Linked DNA regions of Mus musculus: regions 1, 2 and 3 are each reported to be linked to region 4. The links are microRNA targets in miRTarBase. Many come from high-throughput screens and were not tested one by one. Region 4 holds a microRNA gene; each other region holds the end of a gene's coding sequence.

The links. The annotated mature microRNA mmu-miR-181a-5p reads AACAUUCAACGCUGUCGGUGAGU and lies in region 4 at 4,441-4,463, shown strand. An mRNA with a match to its seed (bases 2 to 7 or 8) in the 3' UTR can be bound and repressed. Matches are read on the target gene's strand: a 7mer-m8 pairs with bases 2 to 8, a 7mer-A1 pairs with bases 2 to 7 and ends in A, and an 8mer does both.
Region 1: the mRNA of Klf3 is a reported target of mmu-miR-181a-5p. Seed matches in the 3' UTR shown: 7mer-m8 at 2,747-2,753.
Region 2: miRTarBase lists Plekha1 as a target of mmu-miR-181a-5p. The part of its 3' UTR that is shown has no 7-base or 8-base seed match.
Region 3: miRTarBase lists Dnaja4 as a target of mmu-miR-181a-5p. Seed matches in the 3' UTR shown: 8mer at 795-802.

Annotation. Positions count from the first base shown.
Region 1 is chr5:64,828,361-64,835,483 of GRCm38, reverse strand. It overlaps Klf3 (Kruppel-like factor 3 (basic)), which reads right to left. Exons shown (of 6, transcript NM_008453.6): 6 at 2,583-6,507. The coding sequence ends at 6,326. Among named protein-coding and RNA genes, the nearest start is that of Gm31684, 15 kb to the right of the region's middle.
Region 2 is chr7:130,909,920-130,917,042 of GRCm38, forward strand. Plekha1 (pleckstrin homology domain containing, family A (phosphoinositide binding specific) member 1) reads left to right here. Exons shown (of 13, transcript NM_001346515.1): 13 at 913-3,575. The coding sequence ends at 1,123. Among named protein-coding and RNA genes, the nearest start is that of Mir7061, 5.2 kb to the left of the region's middle.
Region 3 is chr9:54,713,924-54,721,046 of GRCm38, forward strand. Dnaja4 (DnaJ heat shock protein family (Hsp40) member A4) reads left to right here. Exons shown (of 7, transcript NM_021422.4): 6 at 347-447; 7 at 538-2,394. The coding sequence ends at 753. Wdr61 (WD repeat domain 61) reads right to left here. Exons shown (of 11, transcript NM_023191.3): 9 at 6,337-6,429; 10 at 5,328-5,406; 11 at 3,230-3,512. The coding sequence ends at 3,423. Among named protein-coding and RNA genes, the nearest start is that of Mir5710, 9.2 kb to the left of the region's middle.
Region 4 is chr2:38,848,301-38,855,423 of GRCm38, forward strand. Mir181a-2 (microRNA 181a-2) reads left to right here and starts at 4,435; the gene lies at 4,435-4,510. The region is part of intron 3 of Nr6a1 (nuclear receptor subfamily 6, group A, member 1); the gene reads right to left. Nr6a1os (a long non-coding RNA gene) reads left to right here. Exons shown (of 7, transcript XR_866167.2): 3 at 3,915-4,059. It overlaps Mir181b-2 (microRNA 181b-2), which reads left to right and starts at 5,530; the gene lies at 5,530-5,618.

The sequences.
Region 1 (7,123 bases), not on the chromosome of region 4:
ATGAGCTTCTGCTACAAGCTTTCACCTACATGAACTGTCATGCCTTCCCCATCATGACGAACTGAAACCCTTGAAACCAAAACCTGCCCTCCCCTCTGTCAAGTGCTTTGATCCCTACCATGACATGTAAGTAACAAATTCATTTGGTGTGAGAATAATGGGAATAGATGAGAGTTATTATATTTTGTCTTGAGCAAAAAGTACTCTAGGGCTGGCATGGTGGCTCAGTGCTGACAAACCTGACAGCCTGAGTCCTATCCTCTGCATGGTGGAAGGACACCCAACTCCCATAAGTTGTTCTCTGATTTCCACAAGCTCTCCATTGCACAAGTGTGTGTCCACATCCACAATAATAAAAAATACAATAAAAAAAAAAGGTTTAAAACCCTAGTCAGAAACCATCTGTTGTTTTTATTCATGACCACTGAAGGCTTGAAAAGTCATATTTATTCAGATTTATGTACTTCTATGAAGCTCTTACTATCTGTTCCTGACCTATTAAGGTATGAATCCTATTAATTAGGATTAATTAATTAATTGTAGATTAAAAACTTAGGGCAGGTGAGATGGCTCAGTGAGTAAAGGATCTTGCCACCAAACCCAGTTGCCCTGAATTTGATCTCAGGGACCCACATGGTGGAAGGAGAAAACCAACTCCTGTGAACTGTCCTTGCACCTCCACATGTAAGCATTGTCATGTATGTACACACACACACACACACACACACACACACACAGAGAGAGAGAGAGAGAGAGAGAGAGAGAGAGTATTTTGCAACAATTTGTCTTTTATTTTTGAGATTATAATCATATTTTTTTCCCTTTCCTTCCTCCAAATAAATAAATAATTTTATTTTTTTAGAAGTCCTAGTTTCATTTCCTGTTGCTGTAACACAATCCTTGGGTCTAGGTTTATAGTTTATAAAAGCAAAATTTAGTTTCAGTTCTGGAGGCTGGGAAGTCCAAGATAAAGTGAGGGCCCTGTGCAGCCTCTTAACATGGTGCCAAGTTGGAAGAGGAAGGGAAATGAACCTGTGTGCAATAGGAAAAAACCCAAAGGATTGCCTCAGATTGTAATTTCTCAAGATGACCAATCTAGCCCTGCAGGAACTAACCCTGACACATGAGAAAGGAATTTATGGGGGAGCCCGACCCCATGATTCAAGTGTTTCCCATTAGAGCCCATCTCCCACACTGCTGGATTGAAGAATTGCTCTCTAGCACAAGAACTGTCTGGAGAACACACTGATAGTGTGCTGGCTAAGTTTTTGTCAACCTGACACAACCTAGAGTCATTTGAGAAGAGGGTACCTCAACTGAGAAAATGCATCCCCACCAGATTACTTGTAGGCAAATCTATAGGGCATTTTCTTGATTGATGGTTGTTGGGGGTCGGTGTTGGTGGGGGGAAGGGCTAACTCATTGTGGATAGTACTACCTCTGGGCAGATGGTGCTAGATGGTATTGAAAAAGCAGGCTGAGGGCTGGTGAGATGGCTCACAGTTAAGAGCCCCGACTGCTCTTCCAAAGGTCCTGAGTTCAAATCCCAGCAATCACATGGTGGCTCACAACCATCCGTAACGAAATCTGATGCTCTCTTCTGGAGTGTCTGAAGACAGCTACAGTGTACTTACATATAATAAATAAATATTAAAAAAACAAAAAACAAAAACGGGCTGAATAAGCCATGGGGAGCAAGCTTGTATGGCACTCCTTCCTCTTGCATAGGTTCCTGCCTCCAGGTTCTCACCTGCTTGAGTTCCTGCCCTGACTTCCTTCAGTGATGGACTAGGATATGGGAGCATAAAAAAACCAAACCCTCCCTCCTTACAGTCATGCTGTTTTTATCTCTATGGCAGAAATTAGTATCAGGAGTAGGGTGTTACTCTGTCAGACCTGACAATGTGTGGACTACAGTGGCACTTGTACTTGGGGCTGGAAAAACCATTGAGTGATGAGGGATTAGAGGAATGTTGTCTGGAAGCTTGGGAGACAATGTTCAGAGCAATGCACATGATGGGAGGCCTGGCTTGTGGGAGTTTCAAAGGGAAGTTTGAGAGTCCTTTAAAGGATTCTACTAGGGCCCTTTGTGAGATATTTTATGAATCTGTGGTCTCTGGTTAATTCTTAACCAGAATTAGCTGTGATTAGCAAGATCCAGTATCACTGGAGTGAAAAGTCTGCTTTGCTGGGCTAATGGAGCTGGAGAATCAGCTGTGAATAAGAAAAGGGAGCAGAATTACAGAGGCAGACTCTTCTGGGAAGAGTTTCCTTGGGAACATCACACACAGCAAGGAGGCATTCTGGATAGGATGGAGAAACAAAGCTCTTCTAAAATGCACTGGATGTATTTACAGATGAATGTCTGCAGTTCTATGGCTTAAACTGAGCCTTCCTCTTCCTGGACATTACTGGGTCATTGCTTTAAGACTCTTCACTCCTGTGGTGTACCTACTGGCTAGATGGGCTTCCTTTTCTAACCATTAAAAATTATTGCTCATCAGTGACTTACTTTGAAACTTTACATCTCTCACGTCTTTGTTCCTGGTAAATACTACCTATAGTAATCACATGATTATGTGTAATATTCAGATGGTTTTATTAACAAGTATATAATACATATATTGCATACTGTATATAGTATATGAGGACTGTACAGTACAAATTTATGTTCACAGTTTGACATGACAAAATGTCATTACTGAATTCCCATTGGACTACAGGGTAGAAACAGAAGGTACATTAAACATTCACATCTTTAGTAAGAAAGATTACCAAAATGTTTCAGTATTTGCAAGTATACTAATGCATGCTAAAAACCTTTACCCATTCAGTCTTATTAGCTTATAAAATATATTACACTTTATTAAAAATTTCTGCATAGTTTATACAAGTATTAAAGAACTGTAAATGCAATAAGCCTGCTATGCTTGCAGGTAGGTTTTAAGAGATGCCAAGCAGAAAGATTATTCTGACCCTCTAACACTAGGTACATAACAGGAAAAAAAAGTGCTAGTATTTGTAAAACACATTGTAGCCCTCTTTTAATGCATGTAAAATGGCTTTGTAAATGTATTACTTAAGTGAATTTGCAATCGTTTAGAAACTGTTAACCTTGACCAAGAAGAGAATAAAGAGAACTCAAGTGACTTCATGTACGTTAGCAACTCCTTCAAGACAATTCTAATTTCAAACCAAATTATAAAACCTTTGATCTCTGAGATTGTCTTTTTTAACAATCTAAGGAATGGTGCGCAGATTACAATATCAGCAATAGTCTCTCAAATTCCACATTAGTGCAATACTGATAGTGCAGGTGGGTGTTTAATAAAACATACATATACATATATCACTCCCCTGTAATTCTGTTCCAAGGCTCTTGCAACATCTGCATATTTAGTATCTTCTTAGTTGAACAAAGCTATGCTACACACAGTCTCCAAACCAAGTGACTTTCGAGTGCAAAATGCCCATTTAATGATGTACCCTTCCCACTGTGAAACTCAAAAACACAAGATGTTGGTTATTTTTGGAACTTCCCCCAGATGAGACTTGAGCAGTAACTGAATGAACTCTGTAATGATTTACACAGTGCTGGCTTCATGTTTACAGCCTGTCCTCATCAATTTACTGCAAATGAACCACCACTGACAAGAACATAGCATGTCATCCAAAATCAAACATCCAGGGCATCTTAACTTGTATCATGCACAAAAACAGCTAAAATAAAAACAAAAACAAAAACCCAAACAAACAAAAGACAAAAAACCCAACCAAACAACCAAACAAAAGAATACTAAGAGACTAAATTTCTCAACTATCATAGTAAAATACAAATACATACATACATACATACATACATACATATATATATATATATATATATATAGGAAATTTGGTAAGGGCCAATTAACTAAAATTATATCAGACTAGCATGGGACTAGAGAATGGCTTCTCTGGGTTACTTTTCTTTCAGAGTTAAAATGGATCTTTCTGTTAACATGATCTAAGCAAGCTAAAGAGTAATATAATAAAGACTTTTGAACAAAATTTAAATACGCCATGGTGCTATTAACTATTCTTGGTTTGAAGCAAAGCTAAGGGTCCTTCCTTGCACCCTACCCCGCTGCTCACTGGGTCGGAGCATACAAATTGGAACAAACACTAAACAAACGGGACTCTTCAGTGCCCTGCAGAAGAACCACTTCAAGACACGATGGTGGTGGCATGAACGCTAAGGAACACTGACAAGGGAGACCCTGCTTTCCCAAGAGACACTCACTCCTCAATTCATGTCATCGTTGCAAACAAAAAGAAAGGCAAGAGCCTAATTAGCATGCTTTAATAGCCCAAACAGACTTTTTTTTTCAGTGCTAAAAAGGGAAAGAAAAGGAACCCAAGAGCTAAGATAACATTTCTTTGCAGTTTTTACCCACATTCCCCCCTCAGTTGGTTCACAGGGCTGAGCAGGGCCTCCCGAGTGCAGCCCCCACAACTATGAACATAGTGCCATCAAATCAAGTTCCCTGCAAGTGCAGGGCTCCAAGACCTCTCACTCCCCGACATCCAAGAACAATCCGGTAGGGTGTTCCTCCCAGTTCAGGTAGTGTTGGATCCTGAGTTGTGGCTGGGATAACTCTTCAGGATTCCCCTCCCCCCCTTCTCCTCCATCCTTTGTGAGGGGATGAAGGGACTACTGGTCAGAGGCAGCCATATCTGACCATTGTGCCCATTTTATTTCTCAGATTTGGAACCAGTGACATTTCTGCAATCTATGAACTGTTTTCATTGGCATTTAGACTGTGGTGTTCAAAAGCCTGCTTTTGAAAAACAAAACGAAACAAAAAAAACCTTCCCCCCAAATAATGGTGCTATTTATCTGCAACATCAACACGAGTCATTGCTTCTGGTTTGTCCTAACAGGGTACCTGACAGGAAATTGCTAGCTCTGGCAGAAACTTGTGGGAATCTTCAAGCTACATATATAAATCCCTGAATTGTGGTTTTCTCTATTTTTCAAAAAAAAAAAAAAGTCACCAAAATAAAGATCTATGTGCTTCACACTAGGTATATTTACAAATAGTGTCACTCAGGTCTTAATTGAGTGACTCTGCTCAAGCTTAGTGGATGCTCTTTTATACTATGTGTCATAGACACAAATGATTGCTGGTTTGGCACCATACAGCTCACACAGAAAAGCTCCATATGAAAGCTATGTGGCTCATTGGATATGGGAGTATTAGTACCACTCAATGTTTTCCTGTTTGCAAAAACACTCTTAGTAGGTTGGGGGGTGGGGGGAGAAGAGACCATTTTATACTGCCTCAAAAGTTTTTGTTTTTTGTTTTTTTTTTACATGACTGAACAAATATTTCTGTGGATTCCTTACTCTCAAGGCTTCATGATCGACAATGAAGGATCCTGCAGGAACGGAGGTGGTGGTGGCACAGATGGATAACCCTCTCGGTATCCAGCTTTGCAGCAAAGGTGTGCTCGGCCAAGTTGTGCCTGGGGATGGACATTTAACAAATGCACTGCACAGCTAATGTGAATTTCCCAGATGTTGATGGTCCAGCCGGTCCTAGCCAGGAATCGCTGACTCCCTCCTCCATTTCCAATATCTTCTCCTTCTTCCTCACACTATGGGAGCACATGGCCCACCTAAGGCAACAGCTCCTGCTCAGCTCCCAGGGATGTCAAAGCCCTCCACATGAGCTTCAGGTGCCACAGAGGACAAAGGAGCTGATTTAGCTGAGCAGGTGAGCCAGGTCAACAGGCGAATCGTGGGGAGGGCGAAGGCGAGACGGTGGGTCCAGCTTGACATCTTGTAGGTCTCGCTAGCTGGTAACAGGGACAGAATTCTTTCTGTCGTCAAACACAAAATGTGGCAGAAAGTCGAAGGTCTCTGGCAAGGACTAATAGGCTGGATACTGCATTTCTAATACATTTACTTTGACATTCTTTTGAGGAATACATGGAGAAACCGACAAATTGGTCGTTAGTTTACATGTTCCCTTGTTCTCGTTACATTAAATGTATCTGTAAGGAGGGTTTGCTTAGCATCCCCGGAAAAAATAATGTTCACATTCTTTAGGTCTGACCCGTGGTAAGGAGGGGAGGGTTAGAGTATCAACTACTGACCATATGGAAGTCTTGAATGATATAAATTCAGAGATCCAGACCAGCTGAATCGAAATTAAAATGTACATATAAAAATGAGTTAGATAACGGGCAGAAGGAGAAGAGAAAGAGATAGGAGAGAGAGAGAGAGAAAGAGAGAGAGGCCAGGAAGAGCGGGGAATCACACTGAGCTGGAGACAGGTTTTCAGACTAGCATGTGGCGTTTCCTGTGTAGGGCAAGGTGGTCAGAGCGAGAGAAGCTTCGGTCACAGTCTGGACACTGGAAAGGTTTGATCCCAGTGTGTTTTCGGAAATGTCTCGTCAGTTCATCAGACCGAGCGAACTTCCACGTGCAGCCTTCCCAGGTGCATTTGTACGGCTTTTCTCCTGCAAAAAGGCAAGGCAGAGTTTAATTGTTGTCTTTGTTGGGAATAAAAAGAGAAGCTACGATACTTGAACTGATGCCCTCGGAAAATACAGACTTCGGGATAACATCATACACAACTCTCAATGAACATGGTGCTGCATGAAACAAACATATTGTCCATGGAAAATCAACAAAGAACTATTAAAAGCAGCAAGAGCCATTCTGAGGGACAAGCATGGAGCTTGTGGATTCTGCATGTGTAGGTGTGTAAGCCTTAAGCCTTCCTGTGCACTGAAAGCTTGTGGGCCTCTCTTACACTTTGCCATCGGTTAAAGAATTCAATAACCCACTTTCTTATTTCATCCCTGTGAGTGATGCCATGGCGGACAGTGCTTCAAGGCTCTATGTTCTAAAAACAGAAGTTCCCTCTCGGAAACCAGGCCTCCACACACCCCTTCCTGAAGGCTAACCATCCATCATTCACATGTGAGGAACAGGAGGCCCGTGTGGGAACGTGCTAGTGAGAGCCAGTGTGAAGAAGACCCTCACGGCTAAACAGTGCTTAGCGGGGAATCTTACTGCATTAAAGTCAGTAATACAAGCTGGCCATCCCTAACTCGAAATTTAGAACATTCT
Region 2 (7,123 bases), not on the chromosome of region 4:
TTGAGATTTATATATATATATATATATATATATATATATACTACAACACTTGAAATGAGCCTTTGTTCTTCTGATCCAGGCAAACTTCTGCGTGCATCCATGCTGGATAAGCTGTCACCAGAATTGCATGGTGTTTTATAGCTCTGGTGAAGTTTTACCATGTGATGGTAGTGTTTGCTGACTGTGGTACTGTTTTCAAAGCCGCTAGTGTCCTAAATGAGCACACACCAGGAGCTGCGCAGCACGCTGTGCTGTCTTCAGATTTGTCCTTAGAAGTACAATCACGTCAGCATTTACAGCGGTTTTAAAAGTGATTCATTTGTACCCTTTTTAACATCTTAAGCCACTCGAATATGTGACTTACCCAAAATAAGCCAAATTGAACCAGCTGCAGTCAGTTGCCGTGAAATTAAGAGAAGCAGAAAGCAAGTTGTCAGGCTATGAGACAAAATCATGTCTGAAAAGTCTTGATTTTTGTTGATTAATTGTTGATTTTGTTGATTAATCTATGGCCTTGCTTTTTTATGTTTTACATTTTATCTTTTTTAATTCTTGGGATAATTCCCATAACTCTTAAATGCTGGTAGACTCTTCTTTCAACACAATTCAGTTGCAGTTGGAACACCGTATCTCGTTTTAGGCTGACTAGTGCCATAAGCTACCAAAGTCAGCTTTGGTGACAGAATTAGTTTCTTCGTGGAATTGGTTGTTGGCTTTCATTGCTTTGAACTCACCCCTAAAATGCATTGCTTTGGGAAGGAACTTGCACATTTACGCTGCATGGCTCATGCTTCTGCTTTGTGTGTATGTGTGTGTGTGTGTTGCTTGTTTTTCAGAGAATCAAGTCTCACATTGAGTGACTAACTTTGTCGTTGGTGATTGGCTGTGTCTAACCACCATTCCTCTTTCCAGGAGCATTCCGGCTGGCCTTCAGAACCCAAATTCACTGTCCGTCCTGCCGGGGCCGCAGCCACCGCCTCACATTCCCCAGCCTCTCGCAGCCACTCTCTGGTCTCAGGCTGTGCCATGGAGAAGCGAGGAGTTTACCAATCTCTTGCCAAGGTCAAGCCAGGGAACTTCAAGGTCCAGACTGTCTCTCCAAGAGAGCCAGCTTCCAAAGTGACTGAACAGGCTTTGCTCAGACCTCAGAGTAAAAACGGCCCTCAGGGAGAAGATGGCGAGCCAGTGGACTTAGATGACGCCAGCCTGCCAGTCAGCGATGTGTGAGGAGGCTCTCGTGGGCTGCCTGCGCCACTCACCCTCAGTGTCCTTCCGTGAGGCTTCTCGCCAAAGATGATAGAGGGTGAATGATCTCAGTGCATATGTCATACTGCCTTGTGGGTGGACTCTAAGTTGGCAAACCAAGGATTTAGGGAGTGGCCTAGTCAACATAATTCTTTAAGAAAGGAAGGAGAAAAGCTGTGTCCATAGTGACTGTTTGAAGCTTTATATGTTTGGGTGGTGAAAATGTGTGTGTGTTTTTTTTTTTCTTAAGTGACTTTGAAATTTTAAATAACAATTTAAAACATTAAAATTTCTTATTATCTTGGTCATTTAAACCTGCTAATATGACTCCCTTTGAAATATTCAATATTTACACATTCTTATCAGCTAAAATTATCAAGTGGGCCATTCCCAGATGAAAATTTCTAATCTCATGAGGTCTGTGGTGCTGCAGAATTTATACTGCAATGTGGACTGTTTAGAATTCTAACCATTTATGATATTCTGGCTGTCCAGGTGAGTGGAAATTTTTGCATAGATTTGACTAGATGATTGGTGTAGGTGGCAGTGGAACAGGGCAAGCAGAAGTGGGGAGACTGGAGGTCAGCTATAGCTAAAATTGTTATTTCTCTGGGGAGGGGACTTTTTTTATCTTTATTTTTATTTTGGAGATTGGATTTTTCTATGTAGCTATGGCTGTCCTTGAATTCTCTCTGTAAACCAGGCTGCCCTTGAACTTGTGATCCTTCTGCCTCAGTTGCCTCCCAAATTATAGGGTTATGTCACCAACTTGCAGCCTGAGACACTTGTTTTAAAAAGCTCAGTGTTTTATTTCAGTAAAAATTATTTGGTCATAAATTTTGGGAAGAACTGATTTCTTTTTTTAAATCAAAGTTTTGTAAATAGATCTTACTTCTGAATTTGAATCGGTGGAAGACCTCAGTTCACATGCTAAGTCAAAACGGCCCTTAGTCACGACCTTGTTGTGGCCCCTCCCTTGTCATCAGTAGTAACCTATACTCAAGTGCCTGTGTCTTCTCATCTCACTTAGGATTGTACCCCAAAGTCCTACATGATTGGCTTTAAATGTCCGGGAAAACTAATTTCAGTAGCGTAGTTTGATAGGTTAAATGAGATAGCATTTTTATATCAGAGACACCAGAATGTTGGTGGTCAACTACCTGTGCAATATTTATGTCTTGAAAACCAGATCTGAGTATGCATTGAACAGTGGGGATATTATAAACAGAAGCGCCTCTCTGAAGAACCCGGTTTCCGGTGTTGAGTGATAGACTGGTTTGAGCGAGTACTGTTTTGTGGTGACATCTTAGGTGTTTCCTTTCTCCCAGGCTGCTGCTCTGTGGTATTTCCAGTCTCAGACTTGTGTTGTGGAGTCATGGTGTTAGTGTTCTGCCTTTTTATGTTCTAAGACTACTTGTTAGAGGACGGAAGATTTGCTACAGTGGTCTAGAGTTAAAATGTGCTCTTTAGTTGCCCAGCACAAGAACGTACCACTCACCTTTTGTATTCATAAGCTAATATGTTAGAGTTCTATGTAGTTTTCTCTTGTGCACCTGCATCAGAAAACCATAGGACAACAAGGTGGCTAGGCAGTTATCACCCCTCTGCTGCCGTATTCATCACCCAGGCTCTCTTACAAGTTCCTTGTTAATGCACAAGCGTAGGGACCCTTGTACAGACTCTGGCAGTATTGATGAGCCTGGCGCTGTTTGCTTTGGTGCAGCCTCCACAGTGCGCGTTCATTTTATCATATTTTGGTATCGGTAATTTGATATATTTCATGGTGGCAAAATATTAGCTCTATTTTGGGACTTTTTCTAGACTTACATTTATTCAAATGCATAGGAATATGTCCTTGTGATTATCAGGATCTCCTAATATTTATCTCAATTCTTTTGTAAGCTTGTGGAAATTATTTAAGTATTTTAAAGCATATTTTCTTGTAAATATATCCTATCCGAAGTGTCAGCAGTTACGTTAGTTAATACCGTGTTATCTGCTGTATTTTCCCTGTGTGTATAATGTATCTCCTTTCAGAACAGGAATGTGCCTCCTAATGTTTACTGTTACCCTGCTGTCTCTGTATGTCCAGTCGGTGGAACACTGTAATGACTTGAGAATAAACTGCCCAGAGTTCATTTTCACTCACGTCCCCTTTTATTTGGTTCAGTGTTCATGTGAACAAATCAGTAGAACTGGTAAAAAACATTTTTGGTTAGTTCATTTACTTACCTTTCAGTAAACAGATTTCATTTCCAGGACAGCCAGGGTTAAAACAGAGAAACTCTGTCTTGAAAAGCCAAAAAATAAAAATAATTTTAAAAAGTTTCAGATCCTTGAATTCTTGGGGTTTGATGTTGCTATTTTTTTTTTTTTTGTTGTTGTTTTTGAGACATGGTATCACTTTGTAGTCTTGGCTGAGACTCAGTATGGAAACTGTGTTGGCATTGAACTCACAGAGATCCTCCTGCCTCTGCTTCCCGGGTGCTAGAATTGTAAAAGTGTATACCAGCAGGCCCAGCAGATCCGTGAATTCTTAAGACAGCTTCCTATGAAATTGTACAAAGAAAATGTGTGTTCAGAAAGCTTGCTCTTTTTACTTAAACAAAAACATATTCTGAAAATTAGATGTGGGAGTTGCCTGTGAAGCATGTTGGAGTCATCGAGCTGCATGGAGCCCCAGCTTACCGGTCAGGCTGACGGAGATCCCATGCTGCCTACACCTGTGGGGAGGAGTGGGCGGGGCTGAGATGTGCAGTCAGCCCCCAAACAAGTGCTCCAGAGCCTGCCTTCTGAAGTCTTCCTAATGGTAATGGGCTGTTGTGACCTGTGTGTCTAGAGCCCAGCCCAGTGCCTGCTGCCTGCCCAGAGTAAACACTTATCCGCTGAGCCGAGGACCGGGCCACTAATAGAAAATATATTGGCATACGTTTATAATTCGATTGAATTATATTCAATTTAGTCACCTGAAGTTTTAGAATTTCCAAAGACACCAGCAGTGATTTTAGATGTCTCCTTTTGTTCCTTGTGTCTAGTTCATTGTCAAATCCTGCTTTATTTCCCCATCTTCCTGACCATACCTCTGAAATGCAATGCACAATTGGGCCTGTCAGCAGTTCCTTATGGATGGGAGAGTAGCTGTGTGCGTGTGTGCGTGCATGCGTGTGTGCGTGCGTGCGTGTGTGTTTCTTCAGTGGTATACCGACTGAAAAATTGACTATGATCCAGTAAATGTCATCCCACCAATACACATGGAAGCAGCCTTTGTATAGTTAAACTCAGCGGGTCACACAAAAAGTCATGAAAGTAAAAGAGAATATAAGAAGGGTTTCAGCGTGGTGGCACATGCCTTTAATCCCAGCGCTCAGGAGGCAGAGGCAGGTGGATTTCTGAGATGAGGCCAGTCTGGTCTACAGAGTGAGTTCCAGGACAGCCAGGGTTTCAACAGAAGAGTGAGGGTGATAGAATATTGAAAAGGTAACAGGTAAGAAATGACTAATATAATGACTTCTTATATGCTATTGCTTGGGGGGTGGGGGGACTGGAGAACTCAGCAGTTAAGATTATGCAGAGGACCTGAGTTCAGTTCCCAACACCCACCTGTAACTCTAACTTGAATGAGAATGCCTCCTTAGGCTCCCGTATTTGTATGCTTAGTCTGCTGGTGAACTGGAAAGATTAGGAGGTGTGGCCTTGTTGGAGGAGTTCTGTCACTGGGGGTGAAGCCCACACCATGCCCACCCCTCCCTGTTGCCTTTGGATCAGATATAAGCTCTCAGCTACTACTGAAGTCCTGTCTTCCACAAGTGTTCATGTGTGTGTGTCCATGCCCATGTACATGTACACAGACACACAAAAATGATAGACATAAAAATGTTTAAATGACTTGAACTGAAAAATATTGCTGACCTGGTTAGTGTTTATAATGTTAATTGGTGAAATCCCAGTGGTCCACTGTACGGACATTAAAAGGAGTAACTTACTGTTCGTGTGATAACAGTGCCACCTTCTGGTATTGGTTGCTACATTTAACGTAATCTGACATCTACTTCACAGGAAGGAGAGAAGATACGTAGCAGCATAGGATAGCTTTGAAATTCATAGAAATGTTAAATCACCTTTCCCAAATAATAACTTTTGTAGAGGTAACTGTAGCCTCACATTCATAAGAAATAATCTAGAGAAGCTGGGATGTCTGTAGCAAGATGCTATCTTATCAAAAGATAGACTATAGGACATGTTGTATGCCCTTCACTCAGTTTTTCCAGTAATCCCACATAAAGACATAGTGTAGAATTGTAACCATGAACTAGGCTAGTGCTTAGTGGCAGTGCTTACCCACTGAGCCATCTTGATGGCTGATCAGGCTTGGGACCTAGCTTTAGAGAGTAGATAGGCAATAATTTTACATATGTGACCAGTGGGGCGTTTGCCTTTTAACCTCTTGGGGTTGGGATCGGATTATTTTTCCATGTGCTACAGACCCAAGGAGATAATGGAATTTGCCCAGTGTTATAGAAAGTTAAACATGATAAAATCTAGTGTGGAAAACTACCCACCTAGAGGCCGAGATGGTCAAAGAATGATGGTATAGTAAGAAGCAGTGTGGCAAAGAGGATTTCTAGAAAACCCCTGAAGAACTTGTGGATACATGATAAGGAGTGAGTAAATTGATTTGCAGTTTTTTGTTTTGGTTTTGGTTTTTTTTTTTTTTTTCGAGACAGGGTTTCTCTGTATAGCCCTGGCTGTCCTGGAACTCACTTTGTAGACCAGGCTGGCCTTGAACTCAGAAATCCACCTGCCTCTGCCTCCTGAGTGCTGGGATCAAAGGTGTGCGCCACCACGCCCGGCGATTTGTAGTTTTGATGGCTCAAAAAGGGATTGAGAATAAAGTCATTATCTTCAAGGTTCAAGGCTCCCAAGCTATGATACACAAATCTCTCCTTGCCCTAGTTTTTTTCAGAGGGAGAGGTAAGGAAGGGAAAGAATGTGAAGGGACTTTCCATGACCCAGGAGCTTGCCCCAGTTAAATCCTCCCACCCCTCATTCACTGTCCTAATGTGTTTTTCTGCACCATGATAAAACACCCTGACAAATTAGTGTAAGGGAGACAAGGTGTATTGAGCTCACATTTCCAGGTTACAGTCTATCACTGTTGAAAGTCAAGACAGCAGGAACTTGAAGCAACAGAACAGACAAATCACATCTGCAACCAAGAGCTCTCTGCTCTTGATTGCAGATGTGATAGCATCCAGATGCTAGCACTATACAATCCAGTATACTCTACCCAGGGAATAGCACCACCCAGAGTGGACAGATCTTCCAACTTCAGTTAACATAGTCAAGACAACCAATATGGATATGCCTACAGGCAGTCCCTCATTGTGACCCCTTTTCAGATGACTCAACATTTTGTCTAGTTGACAAATCAAAGTTAACCATCACATTTATTTCCAATGGGAGCCTTTGGTCCCAGGAACATCTGTGCACAGTAACCATCATGTATATCTAGCTCATAATTTTGGTTCCTGTAGGGACTGCTGTCACTGAGGACGCACCCAGATCAAGTTCTCAGCACAAAGAGGGACAAAGGGCAGGGGACAAAAGACAAAAGACAGGAGGTAGAGGATAAGGGTAAAGGGGTGACAAGGGATGGGGGTGGGGGAGGTGGGAAAAGGATTTTTATCATGGTGCAGGGATGGGAGTGGGGCACCAAAGGACTGCCTCTGGATAGGAGACAGATGTGGCATATAGGAAAATGGTGCTTTATAAAGGTACAAGGGGAAACCCCATGTTAGGATGAGGCATTTAATTTTAATTGGGCATGTTAATTAGGTGAGCCAAAGGAGGCTTTTGATTGCTGGACTTCAATGCTTTG
Region 3 (7,123 bases), not on the chromosome of region 4:
GCTCCTGGGAATCCCTTTCTAAGCTCTGCCTGCAGCTGTGAGCAGCGGTCATCTTGTCTGTGCTAGTGACATCCATAATTCCCAGAAGAGACAGGCACACACTGGCCCCGCTGGAAGCCAGGTTCTCCAGTATGGCAGAGGTCTCAGTGTGCTTGCTGCTTCCTGATGTGGGCCAGGGCCAGTCTCCTGCCCCAGCCCCTGCTTAATGCCTGACAGGGATAGGACTCCATCCTCTGTCCATCGCTGCAAGGCCACTAGAGCCCACCCTAGCTCTCCTTAGAGGGAGGTTAACCTTTCCAGGCTCCCCTCCTTTTCCTGTTTCATAAATGAACCTTCTTTGTGGCAGGTGAGGTGATAAAGCATGGGGACCTGAAGTGTATCCGCAACGAGGGGATGCCCATCTACAAAGCCCCCCTGGAGAAGGGGGTGATGATCATACAGTTTTTAGTAAGTGCATCTCGACTCTCATGAGACCTACCGTCCACTACCTTGGCAGAAAGCAAAGAAAGCCCACGCCCTCTGTGCTCTCCTCTGCAGGTAGTCTTCCCTGAAAAACAGTGGCTCTCTCAGGAGAAGCTTCCTCAGCTGGAGGCTCTGCTTCCCCCTCGGCAGAAGGTGAGGATCACAGATGACATGGATCAGGTGGAGTTGAAGGAGTTCAATCCCAACGAGCAGAGCTGGCGCCAGCACAGGGAGGCCTATGAGGAAGATGACGAAGAGCCCCGCGCTGGCGTGCAGTGCCAGACGGCATGATGGTGCGGTGTGGCCTGGCCTGGTTGGACTCTAGTACATGATGAATGTAAACTTGGCACAATGAAAATGGCATCGCTTTAATAGCCTCACGTTTGGGGTGTCCCGTGTATGTGTTCAGCAGTCTCCACTGCTGAGTATCTCTTGGGTTTTCTTGTTTCTCTTCTAGTTGTAACTTAAGTTATAGCTTGATTTATATTTAAATGTTTTAAGTTCAATCCCCTCTAGTCTGCATATGGAATCTGTTTCATTTGTACTTTCAGGACTTATTTTGGAGATGCCAGTACCACACTGACCTTTTGTGCTTCTTAGTGGCTTCGCCATGGTTCGTTCCCACAGTAGGCCCAGAGGACCACTCTTGGCCCCTAACAAAGGCCCAGAAGGTGGGTGTCTGGCCCATCTCTAGTCTGTGGTTTTTCTCCCCTTCCTCCCTTGGCAGAGTCACCAAGGGTATGAGCTCAGGTCTGGTAGTAACATTTCTGAATCTAGACTCTAGAACTCTTAAGATAGTAAAAGTCCACATATGGCTTGCAGTAGGCCCAGCATGCCTGGTTCATACAGAGTAGGCTGGACTCAAAAGCTGCAGAGACAGTCTAGGGCATAATGTTCTTTCCCCTTGACTGGTTAGAAAGGGGGTTGTTTGAACATCTCTTTTGGAAGTTTTCTGAACTTCCCAAGCCTTGTGATGACAAGCCCATTTTAAATAAGCCAATAAAGCCATTTGCCTGTAACCCCATACCTTGTTCTTTGTGCTCTTAATGATCATCTATTGACGACCTTTGCAGTGTTGTCCCACCAAAGTGCTTTCTTTCCCTAAGGAAAGCTAAGCCCTTCATATGTATCCCTGGCAGCCCTGACCAGCTGCAGAAACAACCAAAGGGGAGTGCTGGTGGCTTAGTTCCCAGCACACCAGCTTAACGTCTTAAGGGTGTGCAATGGCACAGACCCCTCAGTATTATCTCCTTCCTAAAGGCCCGTCATTCTCACTGTACAGCCATACTGCAAAGGGCTTTCTGCTTGTGATGTGTGGTGAGAACTGGCCCAACCAGGTTCTAGTTGGCTGGCAATGACAGCTGCTTGGGAATGTGTTCTAGTTACTACTTTATTCCTGGCAAGTAGACTGCACTTTAAATAAAGGCTACCTCAGCCTCTAGCCGTAACCTCTCCCTTCTTTTCTACAAATGAAGTTAAAAACCCTGCTTTATAAGCTGCTGGGATAACCTGTCAGATCCATCCTTACTTGGTTTTTATGGTACCAGACTTTGACACAGACCAGGAACCTCTCCTGGGGGCGGTCAAAGGGCAGATGAGACCTGTGGCTGGTCAAGTAAGCCAGCTAGCAGGACCAGGCTCCTGAAGAACACTGCTGGCTAGTAAAACATACGTTTTCAAAGTACAGTGCTCACTTTGACCACAGGCCATGACAGACTTAAAACTGCTTCCTCCAATTAATAAGTGGACCACAACTCCAGGGTGGTGTTTCTGTGCTGTGACTTACAAATAAATCACTGTTGGAGAGCTACTACTTAGCTTGTGTAGGATAAAACTAGACTCAGCTCTTTGTTATGAATCTACAGAGTGTTGCTTAACTGTCCCACCTGTACACTTTCCACTTTAAAATTAAAATTGAACTGGTATGAGACAAATGGCTTTGCTTTTTCTTTTCTTAGCACTTAACAGGGTAACGTGCTAGACTATCTCACACTGGTTGATAGAATAAGCTTTCTCTTGGGGAACTCTGACTTGGGATGAATGCAGCGATCCAATCGGAGTGAAGGACAGTAGAGAGCTGGAGTAGTGGGGAAGAGCAGAAGGGGATGGGGAACAAGGACTCTGAGACGCTGCCATCTGTAGAGCCTCTGAACTGTGAGGGTGTAGACCTGTCTGAGGAAGAGACACTGAGGCCAGGGAAAAAGGACAGTGTAGCTACAGGGGAGTGAGCAAGGGAGGTGGGAAACCAGCCTGGACTATTCTAAGGAGCTAGGCCTGAGGACAGGCACAATGTGGCCAGGCACAGAGTTTCAGTAAGAAGCAACAAGCACTAGGATGTTAATGTCTGAAACCTTCCCCATTACCATGCAGACCCAGTCCAGAGGTGACTGCAGAGAAGACCTAAGGTGCTGGAACTCAGTCTGAGGCACAGCAGTGTTTAGCCCTGTCCACTAGTCTTGAGCCCACAAGGGCTAAGGCAGGCTGCCAGTAGGTCAGACCTCTCTAAAAAGAACAGGGAGAGAGGGTGTGGTAAAGGGGGCATTGTAAATAGACACATGGAGGGATGCTCAGGCAGGTAGGATGACACCAAGTTCCAGTGCACTCAGCCTGTTTCCTTCAGAACTCCATTCTGAAATAGGCTGGTATCACCTGGGAACAGAGAGCTGCCTTTCTACCCAGTGAGCACCTGGATCTCCGCTCTCAGGCAGGCACTCTCCTTCACTAACCGTCAATTGCTCTCCTAGGAAAAGAACAGCACGTTCACAAATGCAGGTGGTTGCATTAAGAATGCTTTATTTACATTAAAATATGAAGAACATTTCCAATAAAACAGGAAAAATTTATATTGTATCTACAAAAGTTCTACAATATATGCTGTACTTTAAGTATGCCAAAAAATCTGAGGAATGTCATGATCAACCCTGTGTAGTCTGAGGCCCTAGCCCCGAGGATGCTGGTGTTTAAATTGGGCAGTCATAGACATGAATTTCCTGGTCATCTCCAACAGATACAATTTTTGATCCATTTCCATTATATTTTACTCCCCAAACCTGCAAATTAAAGAAATAAAGCCATAAAGCCTTCTAATTCCTGTATTTTTTTGGTAAGGAATGCTTAAGGAGTGAGTACTCTTCCTTCTGAATCTAGACTAGCCCAAGGTCCACAAGGATGGAGCCTAATCTCTAAGTGGACCACTTCCTCTGGCTATGGAATAGTACTTCTCTCTAAGATAACGACAATCAACTACCCTTTCAAAGATTCAGATCCAGGGTCCTGCCATGAAGTGTATTCCTGCCTGGGCCAGCACTATGCTTCCAGGAGGAGCCTGTAGGGAAAACTGCAATACAAACCACTCATGCCTACCCCCAACAAGGTCAATATTTACCCTTTCCCAAAGAGCCAAGAGCTCCTGAGCACCACTCATTTCCTTGGCTGTGCACTGAACTGGATACAGCCAATTTTCTCTCTCACAATGAACGTGGCTGAGTTAACTGTGTAATTACTAGGAATTATCACTGTCAGGCCGTGCCCTTGCCTTGAGATTGGAGGCTAACCTTGGTTTAGGCCATATGAGGGCTTCACTTCCATTCCAAACATCTTTCTCTGAAGCACCATCACAACAAACCCACAAAATAAGCAACACAGCTAGGACTGACTAAGAAAAATGCTTAAAGTCAGTAGTGAACTACCAAGATTCAACCCTTCAGCTTCACTGCAATAATTTAACAAACACAAAGCAGTATAAATAGTAATTACGCTGGTTAAGCATAAGATACACCCAGAAGCGTGTAAGATATGTAAAAGCATTCAAATTAATCATCTGCTGATTTTTTCTTGTCGATGTTGCTCTGAGCACTTTAATTTTTATGCTGCCTAGTTCCTCCAGACCAATGGCTCTCAGCCTTCCTAGTGCTATGTGTGACCCTTTAATACAGTTCCTCATGTTGTGGTATCCCCAACCATAAACTTATTTTAGTTGCTACTTCATAATGGTTACTGTGTTAACATAAGTGTTACTGTTATGGAAATATCTGATATGTGACCTCTGCGAAAGGGTTGTTTGACTTCTAGGTTGAGAACCATGGCTCTGGCTCTCGACCCTTTGCTACCTGTAGTGGCTGGAATCAGCAGTGATGGCAACATGCAGGAGAGGCTGAAACATAGTCTCAGCAGGGCCAGGGGTTCACACCTGCAGTCCCAGACAAAGGCAGGCAGACTACACTAAGTTCAAGACCAGTCTGGGCTCCAGTGCAAGACTGTTTAAAATCCCCTTCCCTTGGTCAAGAAAGGCCCATGAGGCACCAGGTGGGTCAGAGTCCATTTTCTTCAGTATGGAAGGCTGACGCTGGCACCTGACACATGCCAGGTAAGGAACTACCAATGTAGATCCTCCAGCCTCTGCCTCCAAGGCAGACTGCAGCATGTACCACTGCCCTCAGCGAACAAGTGGCATGTTAAGATCTCCCAGGAGACTCTTATAAACAGTAAGGACCAAGAAGAATCCTACAAAGATGTTACCATTTCCTTTGCCTTACAAAGATGGAAACCAGGTTTAGTACTATTATTACAAGTGAACAACCTGTAACATTCTCTGACCTATATATTAAATCATATCCCTGGATAACTCCAGAAGTGTAAACGATGATTACGTTAAGCCGTGGAACCACCCAAAGAAGAAGGCCTTCTACAAGTACCCAGAAAAGGATCCCAGGCATAGGTGTGTGACTTCAAAGGAGGAGTGTGGCTAAGTCCTGTGTTTTGGCACATGTTGGGGGGCTTGCCTCATATCTGTCACTCTTAACTCCAACACAAAGACTATAAAAGAAACGTAAATGGGAGGGGTTTACATGCTTACTATTCCATACCTGATCCTGGTGATCAAAGAAGGTGTGAATACAGGTCCTTGTTCCAACATCCCAAACCTTCACACTTTTGTCAGATGAACTGTTTCAAAAGCAAACGTCAGGATGAGAACTCTGAGTTATCCTACACTCCTCTGCAGACTCACACACTTCTGCTTTTACAGGGTCCCTTGTTGCTACAGAGCTGGGGTACAGGTGTCCCCAGATGACTATCTCCTCACTGGGCAGCCAATATTCTCCTGCCAAGTACTGTCATCAGGAGCCTTAAGCCTATCTACCCATTCCTGGATGAGAGGGAGGTCTGCAGAAATGTCAAAAGTGCTTAGAACCATTGAGCAATGCTCATCAGCTCCAGTCCACGTTTCTCAATCACCTTGGCCTCCAGGGGCCTGAACATCACTAGCATCGATAAACACACAGATCTGCAGATTAGATTCTAAGGGATATGTCAGAGTTATACTAAGTGGAAAAGACTTCTAAGAAAAAATCTAAGATTTCAGTAGTTTACTTAAAAACAACAAAACCCTTTAAAAACTAGAGTAAACAAAGGCAATTTGAATTTTGGGGTGGGGGAGATGACAAGATCTCACTACATAATTCTAGCTGGCTCTAACTCACTATGTAGATTAGTCTGCTCTTTAATTTAGAAGTCTACCTGCCTCTACCTCTCCAAGGCTGGGGTTAAGGGATTATACCATCATGCCTAGCCTGGGAAGCTTGTACTTCATTAATTTAAAGAAGTTTTTAACTCTATTTATGCATATGTTTTGTCTGAGAGTATTCCAGTAGACCAGAACATGGGCTCCCCTGGGAGTAGTTTCACATGGTGGTGAGCCGCCATGTGGGTGCTGGAAATAGAAGAGCCGCCACGTATCTTTAACTGCTGGGCCATCTCTCTAGCCTCAGAATTTTAAAAAAATCTGTATGTAATGTAGTCTTTCAATTTTAAAGCACATTCCCAGAATACTGCTCCCTCTGCCAAGCAGTTTAGAAATTTAAGACTCCTACATACCTGGAGACAAAGTGAGTGTCATCAGGACAGAACGCAACATTCAACACCCAGGACGCATGGCCACTCAGTGTGCCAGCCAAATTGGCATGTTGTCTGAAAGAAGAAATTTTCAAACAATGGAGATGCTACTTTGGGGAACTCTAATTGATGAATTGGTTAGTGAATTAATAATATAACTAAGTAGTTCTAACTAATAATATAACTAATAATATCAGAATGACCATATGTCAAAAATTCCATTTTTAGTGAAGCAGCATCAAACACCAGAGACAAATTTTTAGAGCAGCATTAAGTTAAAAATATCAAGAGCTTGGAGGCCAGAGAGATGGCTCAGGCAACTCCAAGATGAGGACACACAGCAGCAGGGGTGAGCAGGCTAGCCAGACCCTCCTGCAACAGGCCCTTCCCATGGTGGCAGGAAAGCAGCAGGATGTAATATCCTTCACAGAACATGTGGCTCAAAGAGATCATCTGCAATCTAGTCAAGACCAAAGGAGGCAACTGCACCGGTGTGGTGGTGCACGCCCCTAATCTCAGCATTTGGGAGGCAGAAATAGGTAGATCTCTGTGAGTTCGAGGCCAGCCTGGTCTACATATTGAGTTCCAGGTCAGGGAGGGAGGACTTTTTAGTAAGACCCTGTCAAAACCCAAAATAAAACAAAACCCCGAAGGAGCTACAGAAAGTACCCAAGGAGCTGAAGAGATTGGCAGCCCCATAGGAGGAATAACAAAATGAACTAACCAATACCCCCAGAGCTCCCTGGGACTAAACCACCAACCAAAGAAA
Region 4 (7,123 bases):
CTTACAAAGTTGTATATGCAGTAAGTGTTGTCCCACATTTTCAACAGAAGATAACTGTCTGAGAGGTTACTATCACTATTCATCAGTGTTTGCACACTCCTTTTCTAGACTGTTCTGTCAACACCCTTCAGCTCTATCTCTGTCTAGTGAAGGTCCAACTACGTGTTTAAAACCCAGTGAAAATCCAACTAAGCATTTAAGTGATCTGTTTAGATAAAGCATTCCAAGCATTCAAGGCAAAGTTAACACTGTGATTCTATTCTTCCCAGCAGCATCTCAGTCATTCTCTTTGTCATCTGCTGAATATCTCATCTAGATGACACCATGCTCATGATATCAGGGACTAAGCATTCCCTAGGGTTCTCTACAGCTTCAGTCAGTAAAAAGGTGAAACAGTAGCACTTTAGCTAAAGAATGTCCATGCTGACATACTCCTAACTTCTGTTGTTGTTATTCCTTTATTTGTTTGTTTGTTTTTTTCCAGATAGGGTTTCTCTGGGTAGCGCTAGCTGTCCTGGAACTCACTCTGCAGAACATGCTGGCCTCAAACTCAGAGATGCCTCTGCCTCTGCCTCCTGAGTGCTGGGATTAAAGATGTGTGCCGCCACCACCACTTGGCCATTTCTATCATTTTCAAAATAAAAATTTAGCCTCAGGTAAATAACCACAAACGTTTCTAGCAATGCTCCCTGTATAGTACTTTGGTAGTAATTATATAGACTCCCAACTGTGACAAGAACTCTCTACTACTATGCAAACAGAAGAGTTTATACTTCTTGTTTGTCACAATTTCCAGAGGCCCAGAAAGACTCTAGAAACATTTACATCTCTGTGAGAAACATGAGTTTCAGTATTCTAGGTATCTCTGGAAAGAAAAAGAGGTAAGTGAAATTACAATGGCTTAGTAATTTCAGACAAATTCAAAACCAGGTTAAACTAAGAATTAAACATTGAAACCAAGTTAGGAAAAGTTCAGTTATATAACTGTCAAACAAGATGACCCTTAGCTTTTTAAATCCTTTAGAGTCCATCACTGCATAAGTACCATAGGTAAATTCATTTAAAAGTCCCACTGTGAGGCTGCAGAGGTGACTGGCTCCCTAAATGTGCTTGCTACATGTACCTCCCAGAGGTTGGGAGTTTGGTTCCCAGCAACAGGCAGGAGGCTCACAACCACTTGTAACTATAGCTCCTAGGTATGCAATACCATTTTTTTTCTTCTTTTGGACTCCACAGGTACCTGTTCATGTGTAGTGTGTGCACGCAAGCTCACACACTTTAAAAAAAAATTAACAATAACAATAAAGGGAAAATAACCAATGTATACTTTGTGAATGATGAAACTAAAATTAAAGGCTTAAGGGAAATTGAAGGAATAAGGATAATAAAGATCTTGAAAAGATAAAAAGTAGCCAGTTGTGGTGGCATATCCTTTCTTTAATTCAATCACTCCAAAGGCAGAGGCAGGTAAATCTCTAAAGTCCAGGTCAATCAGGTCTATAGGTTGAGTTTCAGGACATCCAAGACTACCCAGAGAAACCCTATCTGGGGGGGGGGAGGGGGGGATGAAAAGTATCTCAAATACAACAGGAAGTATCTCCATATCAAGAACAGGATTCTTGGAATGCTGTACACTGAAGAACAGGTTTTATATTTTAATTTGGTGCAGCAGATATCACTGTTTCTGATTATCTGTTCTAAGTAATATAAAGCTTGACATCTCTTAGGAGACAAAGGCAAAGACCATTTAAAATAAACCTAAGCCAGAGGTTTTAAACTACTACACAGGAAGATACCTTCCTTCCTACCTACCTTCCTTCTTTCCTTCCTTCCTTTCCTTTTTAAAAATTTATTTTACTTATATGAGTACACTGTAGCTGTCTTCAGACACACAAAAGAGGGCATCAGATCTCATTACAGGTGGTTGTGAGCCACCATGTGGTTGCTGGGAATTGAACTCAGGACCTTTGGAAGAGCAGTCAGTGCTCTTAACCACTGAGCCATCTCTCTAGCCCCTATATTTTCATTTCTTTGGGCTTCCATTTCACAACAACCGAACTCAGCAAAGATTACAAGAGAAGAATTTTGGGGCTGGTGAGATGGCTCAGTGGGTAAGAGCACCCGACTGCTCTTCCGAAGGTCAGGAGTTCAAATCCCAGCAACCACATGGTGGCTCACAACCATCCATAACGAGATCTGACTCCCTCTTCTGGAGTGTCTGAGAACAGCTACAGTGTACTTACATATAATAAATAAATAAATATTAAAAAAAAAAGAGAAGAATTTTGATGGAGAATGAAATAAAGTGATGCAGAATGTAAACAATTCCATTTGAACCAAATTCTCGCTGATTTTTTTTTTTTTTTCCCTCTCAAGAAGTGCCATTTGGCTACTTTAAAAATGAATCTTCATCACTGGGCATTGTGGCACACACCTTTAATCCCAGCACTTGGGAGGCAGAGGCAGGTGAATCTCTGAGTTCTGAGTTCGAGGCCAGCCTGGTCTACAGAGTAAGTTACAGGACAGCCAGGGCTATACAGAGAAACCCTGTCTCGAAAACAAACAAACAAACACAAAAAAGAATCTTCAGCTAGGTCAACCATCAGTATTTAAACCCAAAGCGGCTGGAGAAATGATGGCTCATTGGTTAAAGAGTACTGGGGGCTGGAGAGATGGCTCAGCAGTTAAGAGCACTAACTGCTCTTCCAGAGGTCCTGAGTTCAAATCCCAGCAACCACATAGTGGCTCACAACCATCTGTAATGAGATCTGATGCCCTCTTCTGGTGTGTCTAAAGACAGCTAAGGTGTACTCATATATAATAAATAAATAAATCTTTAAAAAAAAAAAAGAGTACTGGCTGCTTTTCCAGAAGACTCAAGTTTGATTCCCAGCACCCATATGTGGGCTTATAACCATCTAACTCTAGTTCCAGGGAATCTGACACATTCCTCTGGCCTTTGAGATTATCAGCCATATACTTAAGCAAACACCCATACACATAAAAATAATAAATTTAATAAATACATTTAAGAAAATATTTAAACACAAAGTATCCTAGATTAGATAGATATTAACCTCAATTCAGCCAGCAGCTCTACAAAGCTTCTATGTTGCTTAAAATAAAGCCAATATTCTGAAAAATGTTTAATTAGTTTTCAAGACTTTTCATAAAAAATATTCAATAAATAGCCAGGCATGATGATACAACCTTTAATCTTAGCACTCAGAGGAAGGCAGGCAGATCTCTGAGTCTGAAGCAGCCTGCTCTACATAAAGAGAGTTCCAGATAAGGGGAGGGGAAGGAAGGGGGAGGGGAAGAGAGGGAGGGATGGGAAGGGAGGAGAGGAGAAAAAAATGAGGAGGAAAAGAGGGAGGGAGGGGGGAAAAGAAAGTCAATAAGTAATAAAAAATAACCACCCAAAACAAAGATCAGATACATCTGGCATTTTAGTTGCTCTGTGTTCTTCTAAAGATTTTTATTTTTTAAGTATGTATGTATGTATGTATGTATGTATGTATGTATGAATGAATGTATGTATGTATGTATGTATGTATGTATGTATGTATGTATGTATGTGTGTGTGTGTTTGTTCAAGTGCCTGTGAAGGCTTGAGTTGACAGATCCCTGCAGCAAGAATTGGTAGTTACAGATTGTGGTTAAGACAGGTGCTGGGATCAAAGTCCCGCCTAGAAAAGTACAAGTTCTTATCTGCTGAGTCATCTCTCCAGATACACTCTCTGTGCTCTAGTACACATAGAATTTTTACTTTTCCTATATGGGGAAAAAAAATCATGGAGCATCACTAGCACTTCTGTGGTAATTTAGCAGCCCATGATTCTCAGCTACTGAGTTTTGTTTTTCATCTTTTTCTCTGAAATATATGACTTTAGATGTATTTTCTACTATTACAGGCAAACAAGAAGGAATTTGCTTGTTTGATTTAGCTCTGCAGTAAAGGTTCAAATCTGAGACTGGTAAAGGAAGGAGAAAGCAACATATCCAACCAATACTGGAACAATGAACTCTGGTGTTCAAGTTCTGGCTATGGAACTCCGGGTAAGTCTCTGTTTCTTAAGGAAAACACGGTTGGAATTAAATATACAAATCCTACTACACATAAGTCCCCAGCATGTGTTATGGTCTTTCTTGTTTTTGTACATTAATAATTAAAGTATTACTACAAAATTGCTATATTGATGTTTTCAGAATGATAGCATTGAAAAATATTTCCACAGATATCCACTTTTAGTCAGCAATGTAAACTGCAGTCTCACAATCCTGCAGCTCATTTCTGCTTTATGCAAACTAACTTCACAGTGTAAGTACTGTTAACTTGAAATTTTGGGAAGAATGTGAGAGACCCAACAGCAGTGGTCCTTAGAATATGAGAGCAGGCCAAAGATGGGCAACCAAGCCAGCCTTAAGAGGACTCCATGGAACATTCAACGCTGTCGGTGAGTTTGGGATTCAAAAACAAAAAAACCACCGACCGTTGACTGTACCTTGGGATTCTTACAGACAACAAGTTTCCTGAAGCAAAGGAGTAGGCTGTACAGATATATCATGTGACAGACATCACAAGATACAGTCCTGTGGCCTCTTTTCTAAAGGGAACCAGCAAGTTTTTTTTTTAAGCTTCCATGTATTTATATTGTCTATTTTTTGTAATTTCTTGATAAATAAGTGTTTCATTTTAACAATTTATGGGAAGTGCCATCATAGTACCAAATGCACTCAAATATCTTCTAGAAATGTGTCATTCTAGTCAGAAATAGGGTGTATTAAAAATGTCTATTTACTGTAGGAAAAAAATCTAGTTAAGTCTTTTATTCTCATTTCTTCTACGTCCTTTCAAATTTTTGCTTTAGGGTCAAGAGATTTACTCAGCAAAAATACTCACAGAGTTACTCACTGTCTATACAAATCATATTGTGCCTCCAGTTTCAGTTACTGCGGTTAGGGATTTGACATCTCCATGAGAGAACCAGATACATTTCCATCTCCATGTGCTAATTTAAGGAATTCTGGGTCATCTCTGAGCCTCCGTATCCAAGTATGTTTTCTCAAATGTAGAATAGGAGAGGAGAGAACCTCAGAGTTTTAATTTAATGAGAAGATATATGAGGGTACTTTGAACAGTTTCTGGCTCACAGCAAATGTTTACTACAAAAATTTTTACTTAACTGCAATCATAATCTATACTGCTTTACCTTGAAAAGGGCACTTAACGTCTCAGCTTGAAACAAAAGATGAAGCAATGTCTCTGAGGGCTCCTTTACAGACATCAACATCCAAGTCTCAGCCCATGTGATCAGAGCTACTTACAAGGTTCTCACATAGTGCCTTCTTCCTCACAACTTTTCTGTCTTGAACAAGTTCTTGCTATACAGTCAAGGTGATCTATAATTATGAGTCCACAACCATACAGATGACTAGTTACTAACATACAACAGACTTCAAAGAACCATAGTGGGAAGAAGAGCCAGGAGATAGAAAAGACCAAGACAATTTCATCAAAAGGAAACATTGATGGCTGCACTCAACATTCATTGCTGTCGGTGGGTTTGAATGTCAACCAACTCACTGATCAATGAATGCAAACTGCGGGCCAAAAAACGCAAAGAAACAAAAGTACTCCCAGAGAGTCACCAGAGTACGGAAGTACTGCTCCAGGTGGGACCTCAATCTTTTATCTAAAGTCTCTTTAGTTTCTTTGCTTCTAATATGGAAGAAGCTCTATAATTCCTAGTATTTTTTATTTTCTTCTCAAATATTCCAAGTTTTGGGAAATTTATATTATCACAGGCAAAAGGATTAATATGCCTTGACATCATAATATTTAAAAATAATACTTAAATATACATAATTATTTTAAAATAAAAGTATATGAAAAGAATTTAAATCTATCCTCATCTCAAATACATTCCTTCTATGAAAACTACATAAAAACATCCATTTAATAGTATTACTCACACAACATAAAGAAAAATTTTATACCTTTGAAGACTTATCTACATGTATAAAAACAGAGGCAAAACTGTAATTCAGGGGAAGTTCAATGGCAACAAAAGGAACTCACTGCTCTTCAATTTACCTTTACACTCAGCTATATACTTTAAGCTTAACAAACCACATTTACTATTATTTTGGCTATTTGTTAATTGTTTTTGAGACATAGTCTTACATATCCTATGCTAGGTAGCTGAAAGTGGCCTTGAATTTCTGATCCTATGTTCTCCTAACTAGGATCACAAGTGTGTATCACCAAGCCTGGTATTGAAACCAAGGTTTTGTATGTGATAGGCAAGCAGTCTACTAATAACTGCAGCACCTGTACTTTATGTTAGTGTACATGTACATATTTTGGTGCATGTGTAAGCCAGGGTAGGTGTTAGGTGTCTTCCTTAATCACTCTCCACTTCATTGTCAAACCTGAGGCATGCCAGCAGGCAACCAAGTTCCAGGAGGCATCTGTCTCCACTTTCTCAAGTCTGTATGTTTCCATGGTGAACACTCACTGAAGAAGTCATCTCCCCATTGCCATCGATCCTTTCTCATTCTTTTGAATGACTGTATGTCTTCGTATGAATACTTTGGTTTTTATTGTTTAGACACATTAAAAAAAAAAAAAAAACCTCTCCTGGCCAAAACCATCTATTCTTACTTTCCCAAGATACGTTCTTATAACAAGAAAAACAGCCAAGTGAGACAGGAAACATTTTATGGTAACAAAAACTAAAGGAGAGTATCAATTCTCCAAATCCTATACTGTAAGATAAGCCACAAAATATTTCCTGCTAATGAAATAAAAACATGAGCCTTAGTTGTAAATTAATTATTATACAACTGAAGTCTAAGAGAAAGACAACAGAAGTGTCTTGTCAGTTTAGTGTTTCAAACTATCTTTGCATGGACAGGAAAGGAGAGAATACAGTTGTACAGAGACAAGAATCAAAATAACAAAAGAAAAGAATTCAGTTACAAGAAAGCAGGGAAAGTGTGAGGTTGGCTGTCTGACACATCTAGTGCTGCTTGTTAAAAATGCATATTCCTAGCCGGGTGTGGTGGCACACGCCTTTAATCCCAGTACTCGGGAGGCAGAGGAAGGTGGATTTCTGAG